Stegostoma tigrinum: one gene and its partners. The protein of the gene in region 3 interacts with the protein of the main gene of each other region in a pairwise test. Links are inferred from orthologs where the notes say so. Each region holds a gene or a part of one and is shown on either strand. Other genes may lie near its edges.

Evidence for each region.
Region 1: the proteins of nudt18 (region 3) and EVI5-like protein interact in binary tests that used the Homo sapiens proteins (3 or more experiments, as listed by UniProt). The two-hybrid records come from large-scale screens. The link is inferred for Stegostoma tigrinum from reciprocal best matches to the Homo sapiens genes NUDT18 and EVI5L.
Region 2: the proteins of nudt18 (region 3) and paics interact in binary tests that used the Homo sapiens proteins (3 or more experiments, as listed by UniProt). The two-hybrid records come from large-scale screens. The link is inferred for Stegostoma tigrinum from reciprocal best matches to the Homo sapiens genes NUDT18 and PAICS.

What each region holds. Positions count from the first base shown.
Region 1 is NC_081388.1:1,813,806-1,821,762, reverse strand, and holds the start of EVI5-like protein, read left to right. Parts: upstream 1-4,675; 5' UTR 4,676-4,744; intron 4,745-7,957. UniProt on the Homo sapiens protein: Functions as a GTPase-activating protein (GAP) with a broad specificity.
Region 2 is NC_081354.1:109,761,315-109,769,286, reverse strand, and holds the start of paics (multifunctional protein ADE2), read right to left. Parts: upstream 3,283-7,972; 5' UTR 3,267-3,282; exon of another isoform or gene 3,129-3,266; intron 2,913-3,128; 5' UTR 2,798-2,912; exon of another isoform or gene 2,780-2,797; intron 2,524-2,779; 5' UTR 2,498-2,523; coding exon 2,482-2,497; intron 2,118-2,481; coding exon 1,920-2,117; intron 1,841-1,919; coding exon 1,662-1,840; intron 1-1,661. Other genes in the region: ppat (amidophosphoribosyltransferase), read left to right, coding at 3,298-3,425. UniProt on the Homo sapiens protein: Bifunctional phosphoribosylaminoimidazole carboxylase and phosphoribosylaminoimidazole succinocarboxamide synthetase catalyzing two reactions of the de novo purine biosynthetic pathway.
Region 3 is NC_081393.1:15,505,976-15,514,001, forward strand, and holds the start of nudt18 (8-oxo-dGDP phosphatase NUDT18), read left to right. Parts: upstream 1-4,696; 5' UTR 4,697-4,815; intron 4,816-8,026. UniProt on the Homo sapiens protein: Mediates the hydrolysis of oxidized nucleoside diphosphate derivatives. Hydrolyzes 8-oxo-7,8-dihydroguanine (8-oxo-Gua)-containing deoxyribo- and ribonucleoside diphosphates to the monophosphates. Hydrolyzes 8-oxo-dGDP and 8-oxo-GDP with the same efficiencies.

The sequences.
Region 1 (7,957 bases), on a different chromosome or scaffold from region 3:
CAGGAAATCCAGGTACAATGTTTGCAAGGCCATCAGGATGCCAAGAGGCAATACCAAATTATACTTGACATCCAGACCAAACACACAGACACCTGTCATTTGTGGCAAGGCTTACTTGACATAATGGCCTGCAGGGTGAAGTCAAACAGAATTGTAGGCAACAGTACATTCTTACTCAATGAACTCATTGCATACTACACTCACTTTGAACAGGAGTTCAGTGAAACTATGTCACGTATCCCAAAAGCCTCGGATACCCTTGTACCCACCTTCACCTCTAGAGACGTTAGATCGGCCTTCTTGACAGTATTCCCATGGAAAGCGACTGGACCACACAGAGACCCCAGCCATGCACTTAGAATCTGTGTGGACTAGCTGGCAGAAGTATTTGCATGTATCAACCACTTTCTGTGGTGGAGAAGTTCACGCTCACCACTCTCTGGGTGAAGAAATTACTCCTTATCTCAGTCCTTAATGACCTACTCTGAATCCTTAGACTGTGACCCCTTGTTGTGAAAACCCAGTCATCAGGATCGTCTTTTCTACGTTTACCCTATTTATGAAATCTCCCGTCATTCTTCTAAACTCCTGTGAACATAGTCCTAAATATTTGAGTCTCTCTTCATTCATCAGTCTTTCCATTCCAGGATTCAGGCTGGTAAACCTTCATTGCAATCTGTCCATAGCCAGAATATCCTTCCTTAGGAAAGGAGACCAAAGCTACACACAATAATCTCACCAAAGTGCTGCACAATTACAACAAGACATCCTTACACTTATACTCAAGTCCTCATGCTATGAAACTAACTTACCATTTGCCATCTTCACCACTTGCTACACCTAACTGCTTATTTTCAGTGAGAGGTGTACGAGGTCTTGTTATAAATTCTCCTCTCAACACTATACGAGGTATTGTTATAAATTCTCCTCTCAACGCTATCAACATTATACTTCATCTGCCCACTCATATGATTTATCCAAATCATATTGAAGCATATGTGCATCCTCCTAACATTTCATCCTCCCACATAGCTTTACTTGGAGGTAAGATATTCAGTTTCCTCATCTAATCATTGATGAACATTGTGTATAGCTGGTGCCCTAGCACTAACACCTACAGCAGTCCAGTAATCACTGTTTGCCACTCAGAAAAGAGATCCATTCATTTCTACTCTTTATTGCCTGTCTTTCAACTTGTTCTCTACTCCTATCAGTACACTAACTCCCAACCCATGTGCTTTAATTTAATATGCTAGTCTCTTTTGTAGGACTCAGCAAATATCTTCTAAAAATCCAAGTAAGTACTGCCCTTCCCTTAGCAACTTGACACATTACATAGAATCATAGAGTATTACTATACAGAAGGAGGCTACTTGGTCCGTCATGACTGTACAGGTTCCTGGAAGAGCAACCTAGCTAGTCCCATTCTCCTGTCCTACATCTGTAGCCGTTTAAATTGATCTTCAAAAAAATTGCAAATGATTTGTCAAGCACGATTTCCTTTTCATAAATCCATACTGACTCTGTCCAATCCTGTTACAGTTGTCTAAGTGCTCTGCTGTTAAATCTTTTACAATCGACTCTAACATTTTCTCTACCACCAATATCAGGCTAACACTCCAGTCTATGGAATCTATGGAGTCTTGAAAGATGACCACCAAAGCATCCCCACTTTCTAGGGCCACTACCTTAAGTAATTCAGGATTATCAGGTCCTGATGATATGTTGGCATGTAATCCCATTAATTTCCTCAACTCCATTTCCCTCCTAATATTGATTTCCTTCAGATCTTCTCTCTCACTGGATCGTGTGTTTCTCAATGTTTTTGAAACTAGCGAGTTTTGAGAAGATTTGTAGCTCAGGTTTGCAACTTTATTTGAGTCCTCCCTTGGAAAAACACAACCAAAATGCATATTAAATTGGTCTGCCAATTCTTTATGGGCAAATCATAATTATACTATCTGTCACAAATCAATCTCCGTACTTCAGACAGAAAATCAAACTGGATGCATGAAAGAAGCAATTTGTGAGGTACTGAGTTACTTTAGAATTCTAGAAGGCCAAAAAAGAATAGTACCAAGCAGGTACTTTTTTATTCCCTAGGTCCAATAGCAGATCATGTTTTAAAATGATAAAGTGGAAGAGAAGAAAGTTACTTTTGATAACATTGCAGATTTACTAGAAAAATACAGCTTCCGGGAATACCTGTTGACTACTTTGTTAATGATCTTTGTGAATTTTATTGTTATTTACAATTAGTACTGATTGAGACAGAATTGTCGTCAGAGTTTCTGATTGGTTTCTTTCAGATATGTTACAATCGAAAAAGGAACTCACATTAGAAAGAACTATCCAAGTCATAGTTGCAGCTTAAATCTGAAAACAGCACAAGTGATGAACAGGAACAGAAAGTCAACCTCGTTTAAGGAGCTCATCAGACATTGTCAACTTTCTAAAGTACAAAAACACCAAAACATTACATGATCGTTCAGCACAAAAGTACTTAAATAATTTGATGCTAGATCTCACAGTTTGAGATGCAGAGTTAAATCATGACACAGATAAAACAATATCTGCTTTAATCATACCAATGCAACTCTTGTAAGAAAGTGGGCCAATTTCAGAGAATGTGCAAAGTTAAAAACATCAGATATCTAACAGTGCTTACTTGTACAAAGTGGTTAACACCTTACACAAGAGAACATCTTTGGAAGAAAACCCAGATGAACCAGACACACCTCTGTTAGAATGCATTCCCTTCTATGATGATATACCACTTTTGAATGATGCAACAAAACTATGCTTAAGAAATCTGAATCAGATATTATTTTAGATCATAGATGCTAATGATCTTCAACTGATATCAAACTTGGTACCAATGTGAGTGTTATTGTATTATCCCTACAGTGATTAAGCAGGCCATTTGGCCCATCAAGTCCACACTGACCCACCCTCTATCTTATTCCTGCATTTCCATCCTAGATGCAATGGGCAATTTAGCATGGCCAATGCAGCTAGGCTGCATATCTTTGGACTGTGGAAAGAAACTGGAGCACCTGCAGGAAACCCACAGAGGCACAGGGAGAATGTGAAGGCTCCACACCTGAGGCTGGAATCGAAACTAGGTCCCTGGTACTGTGAGGCAGCAGTACAAACCACTGAGTCACTATTACCACTCATTATTTGAAACATCTCCTTGGTCGATGAGAATGAACCTACAATTTTCCTCACAAAGAACAGCATAGCACAAGAACACCACTCAAAATCAAAGGAATTATGAGTGTTGTCAGAGAACAGCCTGATGAAGGGTTCCAACACGAAATGTCGATTTTCCTGCTCCTCTGATGCAGCCTGACCTGGTGTGTTCCTCCCATTCCACACTGTATTTACTCTGCAGTTATAGCTGTTTCCTAGTTGCTGAGAACAGTTGTCATATTCATTGACGGGATATGGGTGTGAATGCCTGGACCATTATTTATTGCCTATCCCTTTGTTTAATGTCTTTATTCAATCACAGGCTGAGGGCATTGCTGGCCAGCATTGATTGTGCATCCCTAATTGTCCAAAGGGAAGTTAGGAGTCAACCACATTGCTGTGGGTCTGGAGTCACATCTGGGCCAGAACAGGTAAGGACGGCAGTTTCCTTTCTTAAAGGACACCGGTGAACCAGATGGGTTTTCCTGACAATCGCAAATGAACTCATGGTCATCATTAGACTCTTTAGTTCCAGATATTTATTGAATTCTGCTGTGGCAGGATTTGAACCTGGGTCACCCAGAACATTACCTGAGTCTCTGGATTAATAGTCCAGCAATAATACCACTAGACCTATGCGTCCCCCTCATTTTTCTGGCCCTTTTTTCTGACAGTCTGGAATCACATGAGGAAAGGATGTTAGATTTCCATTCCCACAGTACATGAATGAACCAAATAGATTCTTATGACAATTGACAGTTGTGACACTCTCACCTTTCGGCTAGTTTTTCTTTTATTCCACATTTTGACTGAATTTAGCCTTCACCATCTGTCATTGTGGTATATGAAATCTTGTCACGATCCACGTTCCTTTCTCTCTATCGTCCTTCTTTTCCTCGCTCCCCATTTTTACTCACTGTCTCAATCCCGCGCTCTCCCACTAACCCCTCTCTTTCACACCTGCATTTCTCCACCATGTCTCTCTCTAACTCTGTGTAGGTTACATGGGCTTGAGATCAGTATGACAGGTCGGCACAACATCGAGGGCCGAAGGGCCTGTACTGTGCTGTAATGTTCTATGTTCTCCTTCTCCCCATAGCTACGTCTCTCCCTGTCTCTCTCTCTCTTCACCCACCTCCCCATCTCTCCTCCCTCCCGCTCTCCCGCTCTCTCTCTCCCCTTACTCATCTTTCTCCCTTTACTCTCTTGTCTCCAACATCAGCACCACAACAGCAGCCTCACAGAGGCCCACACAGGATTGGCTGGAGATGCATGTCAATCATAACGTTTACTGATTACTATTGGCGAAAACGCCGCATGGGCGGTGTCCGCTCCCATTGGCCGTCCTTTGTCCATTGTGGATTGGTCGTTATCTATGTCCATCAGATGGAGACACAGTTATGATTGGTTAGATAGGGGAAACGAGGCGGGGGAGGAGCTCTGATTGGTGCTCGGGCTGGACCCGTTGACGTCAAGGACGTGGTGCCCCGCCCCTGCTGTCAGGGCCCGAGCAGCAGAGGCGAAGGGAACTGGCTTGAGAACCTTCAAGGTAGGGGCGGGGGTCGATATTGGGACCGGTCGGTGACTGACACTATCTCCGGGTGTATAGGAGCCCGAACCATAGAGGCTGGGGACTGTTGTAAGGACTGGGTAAATAGGAACGGGGAAGCGGGGATTGACAGCTGGGACCGGGAGGGAGGGAGAGAGATACACCATCACCGTCAGAGGGACCGGGAGACGGTCGGGCAGGACCCGGCCATGGAGAGAACATCATGTGGGGTCGATGACCAGTCTCTCTCGGGCAGGGACGGCTCGTTGCCACAGCGACACTGTAGGGAGGGGCATAGTTTAAATCACTGCATGAGGGGAGGGAGAGGAGACAGCCTTGTCTTTCGCCCTCCGGCGACTCTAATGGCGGCAGGAGGATGGAGAAAGAGGGAGGTGTCCCTGAGGTAGGCCAGGGTGGGTACCAGGAAGTGTGAAAGGTGTTAGGGAGGGTTGGGAGGTTGTGACTGGAGGGGAAGTGGGAATTGTGAGTGGGGTGGAGGGAGGGCGGTCAGGAAGTGGGAGAGCGTGATTGGGTTAGGGGAAGACTCTGGACTGATAATTGGCTAACAATGGAGCTGGATAGAGCAGTGTGTTGATTGGAGAGAGTGCAGTGCGGGATAGATGATTGGGAGGAGACAAGGATAAAAAGGGGAAAGCCAGACTGGCTATGAAATTCATGGACTTTCCTTGTTTGTCTTGGAGCAAGGTTAATAACAATTAAGCCTTTAACATTTTTTAATGTAATTGAAATCAGATGGCATGTGATAACGGTATGAGTGACCAAGTCTTAGTCAAAAGAAATGTTTTAGGGAGTGTCATAACTGACAAAAGGGATCTTGAGAGGGAAGATGGGGTGAGAGGGCCTAAGCAGCTGAAACTGTAGGCATGAATGGTTGAACCATTGAAATTGAGATACTGAAGATTGGGGGGTTGGGGGAGTGCAGCACAGATATTTGTGTGGGACTAGAGGATGCTGCAGAGATGAGGGGAAAAACCATGGAGGAATTTGTAAGCAGAATGAGAATTTTTAAAATTGAGATTGCTTGACTGGGAGTCTGGTATAGGTTGGTGAACACAGGATGTATAGGGACCCACAATGATATCAAACTGCAGTTGGGAGCTTATTTGGTGGAATTTATTGACCCCAAATGTTTAGACTGAAACAGTTCCTTGACCAATTAAAGAAACAACTACTCACCCCAGTGCTGGATATTGGATAAAGCCAGAAGTCACATGACACCCTTTATAGTCCAACAGGTTTATATGAAATCACAAGCTTTTGAAGTGCTGCTTCAGCAGGCGAAGTGAGTAACAAAGGATGATGAACGAGCAGTGTTCCAAAAGCTTGTGACTTCAAATAAGCCTGTTGGACTAAACCTTGTGAACTGTATCTTCTGACCTAGTCCACTCAGTCCAACACTAGCATCTCCATATGATTGATATGGGATAAGTCTGACAGGTTAACAACAGTGGAAAATCTAGGAGAATAGCATGCATGTGAAAACTAATGGTATGTCTTCAGATGGTGTTGCCATGAGGCTCAGGTTGAACCCTTGTGGGACACCAGAGGCCATGTCACAGGAGAGATAAACAAGATAACAGTTAAGTACAACTTTGTCAGAAGTTCAGATTGATTCTGTCAGAAACTAGTATGTTTTGGCTGTGGATGTGCTCAAGAACACTCACCTGTTAACACCCATTTGGGCTAAGGAAGTTCTTTACCAAAATCTAAATCAGAACACGCTGTCTGTGTCCACATTTCCTATTTTGCTGATATTGACAGCTCGTTTACTATCTTAAGTGAGATTCTGGCAATCTCTTAAAAATATTGCTGTTTAGAATGCACATAAGCAACAAAAAAGGGCAATGCGATGAAAATTTTAGAATAATGAATGGTTTTGATTGTGACTCTAGGTTGGTAACCAAAGAACTTACAAAGATTGAATATTTTCACAAGAGGATTATATGTAATAGGTAAAATAAGTCTAGCCCGGGGGTGAAGATTGTGGTACAAATTAGATAGCTGTACCAAAATGTTAACACAGATAATGGCTGTCTCTGCAAAATTTTACCCCATTATTTCCATATTCCTTTATTTCATTCCTTCCAATTTCTGCCTTGAAATTGTTGAATGGTTGAACAATCAGGGATTCCAAAGGTCAACTTATCTGTTCTTACCACCAATTTTAATTGGTGTCAGCCATTGTTTAGAAAAGCACATTGTGTGCCCAGTGCAGCCAAATTGCATATTACTGCATTGTTTACATTTCAAACATTTCCTCAACTACAGTAACCTTGTCATTCCTGTTTGATTTCTGGTGAACACCATGTTGTGTGTCGAGTACATAATTGATACTAGTGGTCAGTATAGATATTTTCTAATCAAGCTGTTTGGAGATGTTATTGCATGCCTCTGGAGTACATGGGCCTTGAACCTGGGTTCTGGCTCAGAGGTAAGGATACTAAATGGCTGTTATAGATTAATGCTGTTTCCTTCTCATTCATTAGACTTATAAATTGATATACTTGGTGACACCTCCTAAATAGGGCACTTGTAGAACTCTTTTCATATTGGTGACGCTTTTGGCAACCCAAGATTACTGGATTGTTTAAAATAGGCACTGAGAAAGGTAACAGGGAGGCTACGGTTTTGGTGTCAATCTTCTCATGTGTTTCCATCAACTGTATCGAGCAAGTAATCTGGAGAACCCTGCAACGTCATTAGAATTTACCAATGTTTATTTCTTTGATATGACAGGTTAACCAGCAGCTGGCTTTTTACACATGCTGGGTGATTGGGTGTACTGTCCTTTCGACAGCATGTGCTCTCTCTGGTTTCATGCTGATTTTTATTTGCATGGTTAGTTTAGAGGATGTCAACCAATCTCCAAACTAGTGTCCCTTCAGTCAAGGGACAAGTGATGACAACCTCCTCTGAGTAATGTCAAAAAATGCCTGGTTTGCTCTTCTAATTCGAATACTGTGGCTGAAGAGAGCAGAATTAGATGAATTGGATCGGAAGTTGGCTTGCTGAAAGAAGACAGAGGGTGGTAGTTGATGGGAAATGTTCATCCTGGAGACCAGTTACCTGTGGTGTACCACAAGGGTCGGTGTTGGGTCCACTGTTGTTTGTCATTTTTATAAATGACCTGGATGAGGGCATAGAAGGATGGGTTAGTAAATTTGCAGACGACACTAAGGTCGGTGGAGTTGT
Region 2 (7,972 bases), on a different chromosome or scaffold from region 3:
GAGAAGAGGAAAGAAGCTGGGGAGGAGACAGTGGCGGTGGGAGAAGCTGGGGAGGAGACAGTGGCGGTGGTATTAAGTGGGGAAAGAAATTCAGCAATGGTATGAACATCAAGGATCAACAACATCAGATTCTCTGGTTGATAGCTGTGCATGGTGCAAATGTTACTTGCCACTTATCAGCTCAAGGCTGGAGGTTATCCAATTTGTGATGCAAGTGTACATGGACTGTTCAGTATCAGAAGAGTCCTGAATGGCATTAAACATTTTGGAAAGTTTGCACATTTGATTTTGTGATGGAGGGAAGGTCACTGCTGGGAGTAACCAAAGATGGTTAGGGCTGGGACACCAGAGGAAACAACTTCTGCAGTGAAGTCTTTAAACTCACACAACCCCAACCATCCTCCTTTGTGCTAGATATGTCTCCCATATCAAAAGATGCTAATCTTCAGCCATTAGAAGGCAGCTGAGGCTTCCCCATCATTGAGAATGGGGACATTTAGGGAGCTTGTTAGTCATTTAACTGCTCAGAATCATTTGAGGGGGGAATTGGCAGGAATGCTAGCTGACACTTGATCAGTTTGTTGCAAAGAAAAAGCTGTTTACTCCAGTCTGCTTCATATGCAACTAGCCTTGTGTTGCAGCTCCAGATTAAAAATCTTTTTCTTTCATAAGGACACGCACGCACACACCACTGAGCCAGGTTGAATGAAAATGGTAGGATACAGGTACATTGTGGTCATGAGGTTACAGACTGTATTCCACCACAATTCTCCTGATGGGCTCACGTGTGCTCAGTATGAAGTTGCCCAAGTGTTCCAAGTTCCCTTTTAGGGTTCTAAAAGGAAAGGTCACCAGCTCTGAAACATTAACTTTGCTGTTTTCTTCAGATGCTGCCTGACTCTCAGCTTTTCCAGCACCTTCTGTTTTTGTTCCTTTTAGCACACAGTGTTGGTATCATACAACATGTTGGACAGTATCCTCAAACACGATGACAGGACTTTGTCTCAGATGACATTTTGATGTCACTCAAAAATACCATTATGGATTGATACATGACAAAATTAACATTTAATGAGGAAGTTAAAAATAGTTTTCTTCCCCTTCATTGGTTCATTAAGCTGCAGACTTGCCAATCTTGCCCTTGAATATGACAGCTCCCAACCAAAATACATTTTCTGCCCTTACCACCCTCATTAGTTCTTTCAAAGTGTTCAAAATTGAGGAACACAGACTGAGCCAGGGGCTCCACAATGCTGGTCATCCTAACATTTTCCAAATCAGTGTTTGTCCAGATGCCATGAGACTTCAAGTTCACTGCCAATATTCAGATTCCAAAAAGGCAACTCTCTTTCTCTTCTTCACCGCACCGCTCCCCCCCCCCCCCCCCAACTCTGCATCATTGTGCAACCACCTGAAGAGTTTGTCATGTTAGTGGACAGGATGAAGCCCAAAGCGGTGGTTCTTGACCCACTGTATGTAATATGGCAGACAGAGTTTTGACACAAGACCCCAGCTGAAAAAGTACAGAAGCTGAAATGATTAGTGATTTCAAAGGGATATTAAAGATGGATGGAAAAGCAAAGTTTTGTTTACACAACTAGAAAATGGTTATTAACACCTCAACCACATCAAAACTAATAGCAGCAAACATGTTACACTACCTTAAAGAACATCTCCATCTTTGGAGGACAGAACTTGTATCCTTCCTTTACACCAGGATTTCTTTTCAGAAAAGAGCCTGTGGCAATTCTTCTACAAACCCACTCAATAGGAATCATTTCACAGTTTGCTGCCACAAATGCTGTTTCCCCATATTGTTTCTCAAACGCAGTTTTGATGCCTTAAAAAGAAAAAAGCATGAACACAAATATTACAGAAGATGCACATATCCTGCCCGATGTCAGTAGCAGAAGTCTTACCAGCATCCTGCAGCAGTTTGAAGATAGAAACAGTGGTTTTAGTAGATATCGCAGCCTTGCCCACCATCTGGTCTTTCCTGACTGCATTTCCAGCCGTAATCTGGTCCTTGGACTGAATCAGAACTTGCCCGGGACAATCCAACAGTTCGTATACTTCCTTGGTTTTTCCTTCATTTAGTTTTTTTCCAATTTTCAGCTCTTCGGAAAATAAAAGGATTATTTAAAACGTGAAATCATTCACTTTTAAAGCCACTGAACATTTTTAAATTGTTGACTGGTTTAAAACCAGAAAAAAAAGCAATTTTTTAAAAGAAAAAAAATCACAAGGCTGAATGTCATAACATGTTACTGAGGTTCAACAAAAGAAATTCATCTCGGAAGCACTGACAGATGAATAGCAACAATACAATTCCAACCGAGGGTGTACTGGTCGTTTTCTTTCATGCGGTACAGTTTCGAAACTGTCTCTTTGCGAGATTTTAGCACCGTAAATACTGTGGTAGAGCCGTCAAGTAAAAGCGGTCGCGGTTAATCCAAGAGGGAGCTTGGAAATTTTACTTACCTCCAAACTTCTCCATCTTGGGAAAACTTTGCAAATCTACAACTTTAAAACAAAAAAAGTATTTAAATTCTTTAAAGAAGAAAAACATAACACACAACAGGCCGCAATGTGCTTTCCACGGAATGCACGCCAAGCCTCCCTCTCCACCAACCCCGGGGTACACCTCAATGATGCCTTTCCCCAGCGAGAGTTTGCCCACCCTCCACAGATACCCCACTTCCTCCTCTACCCCGCACACGTCCGCTACTGTCTCCATATTTCGCTACCCCGAGGACCTCATAGCTATGTACCCACACACCAGGCCAGAATCTCCTACCGTAGGCCCCTCTCACGATCTCGTGCTTCTAACAGCCGCGCGTTCGGTTTTAGAACGTTCCGAAATTTGAATGAGATGTACCAAGACGAGAGGGATAAGGGGGGTGGTGAAGAGTCTGCAATGAAAGGAACACGTTTGCATAAAGAAGGGACGGCGTATATATATAAATATATATGTATGTATTATACATATTACAAATTGATCATCAGTTTCTAACGTTCACATATGATAAGTTCTAAAAACAACGAAAAATTATTTACATGCATTTATCTAATTAATTTGCACACCCTCAACGTTTTGGAGAGGTCCGTGACATGTGGGGGTGGTGGCGGGTTTAGTGAGGCACGTGTTGACTCCTGGGAGCTAGGGAGAAAAAGAATACGAGCTAGATAATGAGGAGCGGGGAGTGAGTGTATTACTTTGAAATAGTTAGCCTGGTAGTGGGTGGGCTGGGGTTTTGTTCACTCACTTTTCGTTGGGGTAGTTAGTGTGGAACTGGCATGGAGTTTGAAGAATCGGGGATCCGGGAGGAGTGTGGCGTGTTTGGCTGTGTCGCTGCTGGCGAGTGGCCGACTCACTTGGACGTGCCCCACGTTATCGCCCTCGGATTGGTGGCACTGCAGCACAGGTAACACAGATAGCAGGATTTCGTGCTACAGCCGAGGCAGAACAGATTTCATACACAAATACAGAAACATTATGATAACTGAAGTTCTGCTGCAGTTGTTGGTTCTGCTATTACTTATAGTAGAACGTAGAGTAGTTTCATCTTAGTCTAGGGTAATAGGTCGGCACAACATCGTGGGCTATCGTGGGCATTGTTCTATGTTCTTATGGGCGCGGAAGGCACTAAACTGGGCAGAGAAAAGTGCTGTATTGACTTAATATTTTCTAAGCACATTGTTTAACAATGCAGAAATGCTGTAAGGAGGTAGAGATTTAAAAATGATACTGGAAACCTTTTAGTAGTTTCCCTTAAAACCCTAACACTATCACAGCTTCTGTGGAGTTCTGTGTCTGCCATCCAAAACCTTACTTTATGATACTATTTATGTTGAATTTTTTTAAAAATTGTTTATTCTCCAGGGGAAAATAAAGCTCTCCCAACAAATTAGTATAATTACTCTCGAATGGAAATGTTTAGCCAAAGTACTCAAACTGAAGTGACAAATTTCATCAATCTTTACATATTTGTCAGTACGTTCGTTTTATTCAGTTTTGAGTCCTAAAAAAACATATTCAGGAGTTACTTATCTGTATTGTGTGAAGTTGTATGAAAAAGAAGTGAATGAAATGTCGATGACAAGTTATTAGAGTTCTGTATTTGGATGAGATGTGTATTTTTAACTAATTTTTGTAATTCTCCAGAATAATGTTCTTACCAAATAAAAAGTGAAAAAAAAACAAAAACAAGTTGCTGGAAACTATCAGCAGGTCTGGCACCATCTGTTGAGACATCTGATCATTTCTGACCATATCTTCTGCTGAAATCCCCTAACCATTCCAGAACTACAGAATGTATAGCTCCTAAGTTCATTCAGCCCAACTGGTTACTGCATTCTAGTCTTAATGTTGCTTACAAACTCCCTCCTATGTCCCCACAACTAGTTCTAACCCTTTCAATATATCACAAACTTATATTTAAGTTAAATTGATCCTTACTGTTTTCATCAATTACTTTAGTAAATTCCATACTCCTGACCACTCCCAGGTTTCTGCTGCCTTTCTATGTAATTCTGTTCTGAAAATAAGCTGACTAGAATATGTGTCTTAACAGGCACAGATTTGATCAAGTTGGCATTGTGCAGAATCTTAAATATCCAAACTGCATGAACAATTCAAAAAATGGTCCTCGCACAAATTACTTTTAATTGCCTAATGCAAGAAATTCATTTTCTAGCTGTCTTTGAAAACTCAAATGTAGCATACCACTAATTAAAATAACTTATTTAAATCCGATGTTGATTTTTATTTTACTTTTTTCTAAGCTCACTGTAAAATCACTGGGCATTTGGAAGGCTATCAATGTCAATGCAGTTGTGACAAATGTTGGCTAGCAATTATGCTTGGCCTGTGTTCCAGAGTGCATCACATGTAATATATGCTACAGAAGGTACACTGTTTTAAAATTTATTGATAGAATAAAACAACACTGACTCCCATCTGATGCTTAGTTTACAATATATGGGATACTTATTAAAAGGCTCCTTTGCAAGGTTCCTCTAGTAAACACTTTACACATTATATGCAATAGAAAAGCAGTATCATCAGCAGTAAGGACTTTGTTAACTTAAAAATTTGGGAAAGAGACTTTTTATTTATTGATTTATGGGATCTGTGCATCACTGGCTCTGCCAGCACTTTTTGCCCAACCCTAACTGCCCTTGAACTGTTTGGCTTGCTAGCCAATTTCACCGAACACTTAAAAGTTATGGCTATGGAGTCTCGTGTAAGCTAGAATGGGTGATGATGGCAGATTCCCATCTCTAAAGGATGCTAATGAGTCAGATGGGTATTTATGACAAACAATGATTGTTACATAATTGCAATTAGACTAATTTTTGATTTTTGTAATCAAATTTGAATTTTGGCACCTGCCACGGTGGAATTCAAATGCATAGTCTCAGAACCTGAGTCTAGTGACTCTGGATTGCTAGTCCAGTTACATATATTACGTGGCCATTATCAACCTGGATAAAATGGTTGGAGTATTATATGGGATCCTTGGGGAATCAACACCTGGAAAGGATTTTTTTATAAAAATCAAAAGATCTGCAGATGCTATAAATCGGAGACAAAAATAAAAACCGCCGGAAAACCTCAGCAGGTTTGGCAGCATCTGTGGAGAGAAATCAGTTAATGTTTTGGGTCGAGTGACCCTTCCTCAGATGGATTCTTTATGTTTAGCTAATTATAATTTTGAAACATCCATGGTGCCATTCTCTTTCCTGAAATCCATTTGAAAGCTTTAAAAACTTCTGAAAAACAGCTATAATCTCAAGAACATTTATAAAACATTTTGGTTCAGAGAACTGAAAAAGCAGCTTCAAACACAGAGTCTTCAGTTATATTGGGCAATTGGAACTTCACTTGCTTTCAACTCATATGTTTCACTAATGAGTTTAATTTTGCCTGGTAATCCTATGATGGAGATATTTTAAGTTCAGAAATCCTGATGAATTACAATTCATTTCACATTACCATTTAATAATGATTTGACTTACTTGCGGTGATCAGGTTACTTGCAGGTAACCAAATGTTCCTACATTCAATTTGATGTGGGCTAGTAGGTTGGGGTTATGTGTTACAGTTTAATAATTTTAATTTTCTGCCACTCTTTGAGGGAATTAGGTTTGCCCCTTATATGCCTACATGTTGACTGGGTTACTTTGGAAGGATGTGTTGTCGACGTAGGAAAACTGATTTAGATTTTTAAAAATCATACAAACATATGTTAATTGAATGCAGCTTTAAGAGCAATGATTTACTTAATAATGATAATAAAGTGTGAAGCTGGATGAACACAGCAGGCCAAGCAGCATCTCAGGAGCACAAAAACTGACGTTTCGGGCCTCGACCCGTCATCAGAGAGAGGATCTCTCTGATGACGGGTCGAGGTCCGAAACGTCAGCTTTTGTGCTCCTGAGATGCTGCTTGGCTTGCTGTGTTCATCCAGCTTCACACTTTGTTATCTTGGATTCTCCAGCATCTGCAGTTCGCATTATCACATTTATTTAATAATGCCAGTTTTTAAAAACTCCAATATGTGCATTCTGAAAACAGCTTGTTGGAACTTTTTTCTATAAATTCATAACTCAGGATGTGGAATTGGTGTATAAAATCAGAATCTCCAAGATTTTTTAAAATCTAATTTATACTGTACATCTGTAAACTAGATGTTGTGTCTAGTGTGAATTTATAACATCACACCATTTAGAGGAGCAGTATTCCCAAAGGGGTGTGCTTTTGAGGTGCAATACCAATTTAACTGTTAAACTTTTTATAATCAAGTATCCACTAAATTAAAAAAAATTAAAAGCGACAAGGTGTGAGTAAAACATCAAAAAGCCATAAAGCTGTAATTTTTTTTCAGCACTGTCGTTAGAAACAAGTAAGTCCAGCAAATTAAGTTATTCAAATATTTTCTTCCTCATGCTTTTGGCAGGAACTATCCTTCAATTTTAGAAAATGATTACAGATTTTTTTCCATGACTGCTGGAGCATCATTTGGAACCAATTTGAGAATTAGCTTAGTGGAACACTCTCCTTTGAGGCAGTGGCTGTGAGCTGAAGCACCACTCTGTAGAACAGGTTTGAACAGACAATCAAGGCTGATATTTCATCACTGCATTGAGGGTACAGTATGAAGTATTATCTTGTGTTATCATTCCTATGGGGTATTGAACTTACAGCTGGATGAGAAGTGGAGGGGGGAGCTGGCTCACATCTGTTCACCCTTCTCATAACCACAACAGAGATATTGGTTCTCTTTACTGCCAGGTTAAAACTTTCTCCAATAAAGTTGCATTTAATTACTTTTTACTTTATGCAGTAAGGAGAAAATCAGAAGATTTTCTTGAGTTAAAGGAAGAAAATGTATTACTTCCAAAACCGGAGAAGAACAGCAATGGCAAGGCCTTAAGTACTTGGCCTGTGTGCAGTCAATTGGACACTCCCACCGTAGAAAGCCAAATGGGATGCTGTCAAGTACAAAGAAAGATGGAAGAATATGTCATTTAGAGTCCATTGGTTGGCTTTGAGCTATAAGGTTTAAACCTCAAGCTGAGGTTGGTTATCTTTTGATACATCAGAAATAATAATATTGTGTTTATTTGAAAGTTCTCTGTTTCAGAAGCTTAGTTGGTTTCTGGGATAATGTTTCTCTGGGAGATCTGGGCCAGTTTCTTTTGAGAAAGACAAGTGGAGATAGCCTGGCCAAATTAATCTCCAGTGTGGAAAATAAAGTGACCTTATAGAAACTTTGTTATAAGATTAATATAATAAAAAAAGTTGGAAGTGAAATACCCAAAGAAATACCAAATCACCTACACAACAACCTGTCCACATATCTCTTCCTATACTTCCCGCTGGCAGCTGGGTGTCTCTTGTACAATCCCACCATTATCATTGCACCCTTCCTGATCCTGAAATCTACCCTTAATACCTCGCTGCAAG
Region 3 (8,026 bases):
TAAAATCTTTCTCCTCTCACCTTAAAATATGCCCCCTAGTCGTGAAATCCCCCCCAAGGGAAAAGACACTTACCATTCACCTTAGCTACATCCCCAATGGTTTTATTAAGCTCTATAAGGTCAGCTCTCAACATACTTTGCTGCAGTGAATAAAGTCCAAGCCTCCCCTTATAACTTGAGCCCTCCATTCCCAGCAACATACTGGTAAATCTTTTCTGAACCCTCTCCAGCTTACTAATAACCTGCCTATAACAGAGGGACTAGAACTGGACACAGTGCTCCAGAAGAAGCCTCACCAACGACCTGTACAACCTCAACATGACGTCCCAACTCCTACACTCAAAAGGTCTGAGCAATGAAGGCTAAAAGCCTTCTTAACCATCCTGTCTACATGAGACGCAAACTTCAAAGAGTTAAGCATCTGAGCTCCTACCTCTCTCTGTTCTACAACACTGCCCAAGTCCTGCTCTTGTGTATTTTCCCCAGATGCAATACCTCATGTTTATCCAGATTAAACTCCATCTAGTTGGAAATAGTTGGCTAAAAATAATGTCCATTTGTAAGGGCTTTCTTATGGACTTTCAGAATGCATTTGACAAAGTTCTTCAAAGCAGATGTTTTCAGATGAAAGGCAAGGAGATAAGGGCAACTGGGCAGTAGAGACTCATGGCTCAGTGTCAGGAAGCAGTAGGTGGTTTAAGGCTATGGTTTTTCAGTATGCAGTGGTGGTTTGGATTTTGCTCTGTTGCTCCACACTTTACACACAGAAGGGGCGATCAGGTTTCCTAGTGATATCAGCGTTGTTAATGCAATAGGCGGTGATCAGGACAGGCCTCAGGCTCAGTGAGGCCACATCCGGGAAGAGAAAGGTTCCAATCCTCACAACCCTTCACCTCCCCCGCCACAACCCGCAAGTCCTTGAGGACTCGCCTCCGAGTGAACTTGCCAAAACTCCGCCGAGGGAATCTCACCTCTGTTTCCCCTCAGCCCTCCATCCCACCCTCCACCCTCCCCGCAATGTCGAACACAGGGTCCTGAGCCCCACTTCCTCTCTCTCAGCACTGTCTGGATGTCTCCACGTCACACAGCTCACCATCCCCCACCCCACCTTCTCAAGGCGGTTGCGGTGGGGAGCTCTTCGCATGCTGTCTGACCTGCTGTGCTTTTCAAGCTCCACACCCATTGACTTCGACACATCACCTTGTTCCCTGGCCAAAATCTGTGCCTCAGGCTTCCTGCAGTGCTCCAGAGAAGGTCAGCACAAGCTGGAAGAGCACACATCATTTTCCACTTGGGAACTCTAGCTTTCTGCACTCAATATCGAGTTCAACAATTTTTGGGCTTGAGGCCCCTTCTCCCGTGTCCTTACCCCAAACCCCACACACCAGGCCTTGTTATCACATGGTCTGCTCAATCAAACTACCAATCGTTAGCTTCTAACAGTCCCCATTAGTAACTATTCATTCTCCCAAGTTGACTTTTATCCACTCCTTTGCCTGCCCAACTGTTTTTCTATCTCGGGCTATCATTTCCTCGCCCACCTACGCACTTTTCTGGATTTAAAAAAAACATCCTTTTCCTAGTTCCCATGAGTTCTGAAGAAGAGTTAACTCTGATTTCTTTCCACCGGGGCTGCCAGACCTGCTAAGTTTTTGCAGCCAACTTCTGTTTTTGTTTCAGATTTCCAACGTCTGCAGTTCCTTTGGTCTGTTCGATTGATTTTTTTAGAATTGGTGGGCTGTGCGTAGCCAGAGTGCAAGAAGGAAAGCGGCTGCAACAGAACCATTTCTCTGGGATCTTGCTGCTCCCTTCCATTGCCCCAGAATTTGAGGGGGGGGGAAGCGGGGGTAGGGAGCATAGCAGCAGGAGTGGCAGTGCCCTTGCACAGTTGAGCCACCCATAAACACCGGAGCCCCCACCCACACCCCATCAATTCCCCTCACACCTGGACCCTCAACACCAGACCCCGTTGACCACACGGAAATCTATTGTCGACTTGTCGGAGCACACCCTTCAACCAGACGGAATCAAAGTTCTCAGCTGAGGGCTCAATTTCTGCCCCGCTACCAAAACGGACCCCCCTGGTCTTGTGGCAGACACGGAGGAATTCATCAGGGGGCTGAGGCTCTGGGAATTCTTCCTCAAACCCCGAGATGTCAGCAGTGAGCCCAAACAGACAACCAACAAACCGGAACACAACCTTCAACTGAACAGACTGATCAAGACCTTTGATCCAGATCGTCTGATTATCCTATGCACTATCATCCTGCGCATTTCTCATGTTGGAGAGTTCTGCTGCCTTCCAAAGATACAAAAGCCAATACACCTGGACGTCCCATCGTATCAGGCAATGGGACCCTGTATGAGAACCTCTCTGGCTATGTCGACGGCATCTTGAATCTCACTGTACAAGGAACCCCCAGCTTCCGCCACGACACGACAGATTTCTTACAGAAACTCAGCATCTACGCACCAGTCAAACCAGGAACATTCCTTGTCGCAATGGATGTTTTGGTGCTCTACAGCAGCATCCCCCACGACAAAGGCATCACTGCAACAGCCTCAGTACTCGATACCAACAGACACCATCCTACAACTCATCTGTTTCATCCCTGACCACAACGTCTTCACCTTCAACACCCTGTTCTTCATCCAGACACATGGAACATGGGGACTGTACGTGCCAACGTGTCAACATTTTCACGCACAAGTTTTGAGCAAGACTTCTTTGCCGCACAGGATCTCCGACCAACGTTACACACCAGATAATTGATTACTTCTTTTCTTGGTGAGGAATCATGAAACAACTACATTGTGATATCGACAAGTTTCATCCCACCATCACACTTACAATGGATTACTCTTCAGAATCAGTCTCATTCGTGGACACACACATCTCCATCAAGGACAGATACCTCTATCTTATTCAACTGCAAGCCCATGGATAACCTTGTGATTCTGCACTTCTCTAGGTTCCACCCTAAACATATTAAAGAAGCTATCCCCTACGGACATACCCCGTGCATACACAGGATCTGCTCAGATGAGGAGGAATGAATCAGACATCTAAAGGTTTTGAAAGGTGCCCTCATAAGAATGATACACGATGCTCAACTCATCGACCATCAGTTCCAACGTGCCACAGTGAAACACCACAATGACCTCCTCACAACACAAACACAGGATACGACTCAGAAAGCACCCTTCATTGTCCAGTACTTCCCTGGAGCGGAGAGACTCAGAAAGCACCCTTCATTGTCCAGTACTTCCCTGGAGCGGAGAGACTCAGAAAGCACCCTTCATTGTCCAGTACTTCCCTGGAGCGGAGAGACTCAGAAAGCACCCTTCATTGTCCAGTACTTCCCTGGAGCGGAGAGACTCAGAAAGCACCCTTCATTGTCCAGTACTTCCCTGGAGCGGAGAGACTCAGAAAGCACCCTTCATTGTCCAGTACTTCCCTGGAGCGGAGAGACTCAGAAAGCACCCTTCATTGTCCAGTACTTCCCTGGAGCGGAGAGACTCAGAAAGCACCCTTCATTGTCCAGTACTTCCCTGGAGCGGAGAGACTCAGAAAGCACCCTTCATTGTCCAGTACTTCCCTGGAGCGGAGAGACTCAGAAAGCACCCTTCATTGTCCAGTACTTCCCTGGAGCGGAGAGACTCAGAAAGCACCCTTCATTGTCCAGTACTTCCCTGGAGCGGAGAGACTCAGAAAGCACCCTTCATTGTCCAGTACTTCCCTGGAGCGGAGAGACTCAGAAAGCACCCTTCATTGTCCAGTACTTCCCTGGAGCGGAGAGACTCAGAAAGCACCCTTCATTGTCCAGTACTTCCCTGGAGCGGAGAGACTCAGAAAGCACCCTTCATTGTCCAGTACTTCCCTGGAGCGGAGAGACTCAGAAAGCACCCTTCATTGTCCAGTACTTCCCTGGAGCGGAGAGACTCAGAAAGCACCCTTCATTGTCCAGTACTTCCCTGGAGCGGAGAGACTCAGAAAGCACCCTTCATTGTCCAGTACTTCCCTGGAGCGGAGAGACTCAGAAAGCACCCTTCATTGTCCAGTACTTCCCTGGAGCGGAGAGACTCAGAAAGCACCCTTCATTGTCCAGTACTTCCCTGGAGCGGAGAGACTACGCCATGTACTTCACAGCCTTCAATATGTCATCAATGACAATGAGTATCTTGCCAAGATGCTCCCTATATCTCCACTTGTCACCCTCAAACAACCGCCAAACCTTAAACAAACCATCATTCACAGCAAACTATCCAGCCTTCAGGAGAACATCAATCACAACGCCACAATACCTTGCCAAGGCAACCTCTGCAAGGCACGTCAGATCATTGATATGGATACTACTATCACACATGGGAACACCACCCATCGTATACACAGCAGCTATTCATGTTACTCAGCCAGTGTTGTGTACGTCATATGCTCCAGGCAAGGATGCTCCGAGGCAAGACTATGCAGATGCTACAACAACGGATGAATGGACACTGCAAAACAATCGCCAGACAGGAATGCTCCCTCCCAGTCGGGAACACTTCAGTGATCAAGGAAATTCAGCTTCCAATCTTCAGGTGAGCGTTTCAGCCCCGCCCCTAGCCCCATCTCCGGGTAATGACGGGCAGCTACCCAGACCAATCAGGAAAGAGATGCCGCGTCGGGCAGGGGGCACGGACGCAGTGGCGTCATGCCGCAGCCCGGGTGAAGAGCAGTTTGCAAGGAGGAAGGAAGCAGGGCCGGGAGCGTGCGGTGTCGCCTTGGCGACGGGGCCTAGTCGGTCTGGTGGAGGCCCGGCGCTGGACGGAATGGTCAGTTGATGGGAGGAGAACGAGAACGGGATTGGGGCGGGGAGAGCGCGAAGCGCCGCGCGGTCGCCATGGACCGACAGTCGGGTCAGAGTGAAGAAGGGGGGGGGTGGAGGTGGATGCTGGCAGCCGGTGAGAGCTGGACCAGCAGGCCGCAGGAGGGGGATGTGGTGCTGGCCGTGTCATTGCACTCGCACACACATCACCATCAGAACAGCAGGAGGCCATTCAGCCCATCGAGTCCCGGACCTGATCAGCCTCAAATTCCAATTCGCTACCTTTTCCCTGGATTTCCTTCCTGATTTAAAGCACATCTCTCTCTGCGTCAGCCCTCTGCGGCAAACAACCTCCCTCTGAGAGAGGAAATTCCTCCTCACGGCCGTCTCGAATGTGTGACTACACCCCTCCCCCTATCACTCTGTGGTGGCGTCCCTTTGCTCCAAGTCTCTTCCAGAGGGCAGGCCTAGTCCCACCTCTACATACACCCAGAACCACAGCCATGTGGTTGACCCTGAACACATGGAGAATGGAAAGAGAAAGTGAGCCATTAGAGATGTACAGAACAGAAACAGACCCTTTGGTCCGCACCGACCAGACCCATCCCAGTCTGACCTCGTCCTGTTTGCCATTATTTGGTCCATATCCCTCTAGACCCTTCCTCGCCATATACCCATCCAGATGCTTTTAACATACTGTAATTGTACCAGCCTCCACTGCTTCCTCTGGCAGCTCATTCCATACACGCACCAACTTCTGTATGAAAAAGTTGCCCCTCAGGTCCCTTTTCAATCTTCTCCCCTCTCACCTTAAATCTTTGCCGTTTGGTTTCGGAATCCCCTGCCTTTGAAAAACGACGAGAATTGAATGCGGTATTCTAAAAGTGGCCTCATCAATGTCCTGTACGGCCACAACGTGACCTCCCAAATTTTGTACGTAATGCACTGACCAATAAAGTCAAGTGCCAAATGCTTTCTTCACCACCCTGTCTGCTTGCCAGTCTACTTTCAATGAACTCTGAACCTGCTCCTCTTTGTTCGACAACACTCCCCAAGCATTTCAGTCCTGCCCTGATTTGCCTTACCCAAAAGCAACACCTACATTTATCTCCATCAGCCACTTCTCGGCCCGAGGAAGGGTCTAGGCCCGAAACGTCAGCCTTCCTGCTCCTCTGATGCAGCTTGGCCTGCTGTGCTCATCTACCTCTACACCTTGTTATCTCAGCCCATTAGCCCATCCATCCCTCCAGTAGATGCCTATGTGTAACTCATTCTCATGAATTTGTTATTTCTTCTGCACTGTCGCACTTCTGTGATGTCTTGTTTATCTTGACGCAACAGGAACGGTTTCCTGGCCCTGCGTCAAAATCGATGTAAGACTCAGTCAGGGCTCCTCTGTATTAACATCTCTTAGGAGTGACAGTGTGTCCCTCAGTACTGAACTGGAGTCCATGTTGCATGGATTTTTGAGTTTAAGTCCTTATTGAGTGGGACTTGAATCTACAAGAATTCTGCTTCGGGCAAGAGGGTACATCCAGACAGCATCTTGTGGGAACAAATGGAAAATAAATTACAGTTAGTGTTGATTTGTTAAAAGGCAAAAGTATGTGATAAACTTGAGTGTTCTTTGGTCAACTGGTGGGGAGATTGAGGGTGCTGCAAGTATATATGGACTTTCTAAAGACACAGGGCAGAGGTGATTAAACATTCAGGATGAATATTTTCTTCATAACAGCTTTAACAACCCTGCAATTTATCAACAGAAGAAGTTCAAAAACAATGTTGCTATGTTTAGAGGCAGTGTGTACCCATGCGTTTGGAAAGATATGGAGGACTTGCACAGGCATCAGAAGAGACTGACAAGTATGGTATCTGGCTTCTGTGGACAAATCAGGCTGGCCAGTGTTTATCGCCCATCCCGAGTGGCCATTGAGAAGGTGGTGGTGAACTGCCTTCTTGAACTGCTGCAGTCCGTCTGCAGTGGGTTGACCCACGATGCCGTTTAGGGAGGAAATTCCAGGATTTTGACCCAGTGGAGGAACGGCGATATATTTCTAAGTTCAGGATGGTGAGTGGCTTGGAGGGGAAATTGAAGATGGTGGTGCTCCCATATATCTGCTGGTTGGGAGTTCAGTTATGTGGAGAGACTGTTGACTTCATTCGTGATGTTGATAATCATGAAGTATTATTTTGGATGAGAGATATATCTTCAGTGGCAGTAACTAAGCACAAGCAAAGGTACTGATGTGCAGCAGCTTGCGAGACCTTGAGGGGGGCCGTGTGGAAGCAGATTCAGTAGTAGCAATCAAAAGAGAATTGGAGGAGGACTTATACAATTAAAAGTAGGGCCTTAGGGGTAGTGCTATAGAACAGAGAGACGTAGGAGTTCAGGTGCATAATTATTTGAAGTTTGTATCACATTAGACAGGGTGGTTAAGAGGCGTTTATCACGCTTGCCTCCGTTGCTCAGACCTTTGAGTATTAGAGTTGGGACGTCATGTTGAGGTTGTACAGAACATTGGTGAGGCATCATCTGGAGTACTGTGTCCAGTTCTGGTATGTATTCTGTTATAGGAAGGATACTATTAAGCTGGAGAGGATTCAGAAAAGATTTACCAGGATGTTGCCAGGTATGGAGCGTTTCAGTTGTAAGGAGAGGCTGGATAGACTGGGACTTTTTTTCACTGGAGTAGAGGCGGTTGAGGGGTGACCTTTTTGAGGTTTATAAAATGACCAGCGATACAGATAAAGTGAATAGCAGGTATCTTTTCCCGAGAGTGGGGGATTTCAAAACTACAGGACATATTTTAAGGTGAGAGGAGAAATATTGAAAAGGGACACAAAGAGCAATTTTTTTAATAAAGGGAGTGGGAAAAGCTCCTTCCCCTTAGGTAGGGTGTGGTCTTTAGGACAAAGTGCAGCCACTCGTGTGTGGAATGAACTTTCTGAGGAACTGGTGGATGTGGGCACAGCTATAACATTTCAAAGACATTTGGAAAAGTACATGAATAGGAAAGGTACAGAGGGATATGAGCTAATCGCTGGCAAATGGGACTGGCTTGGTTTGGATTATGGTCGGCATGGTAGAGTTGGACCAAGTGTTCTCTTTCCATGCTGTAAAACTGTATGACATGAAGGGAAAATGTTTGTAAGGCTGTACGGCTAGATTCACTAGAAATCCAGCACAGGGTTGATGGGCCAGCCAGCGTCCTCTATAT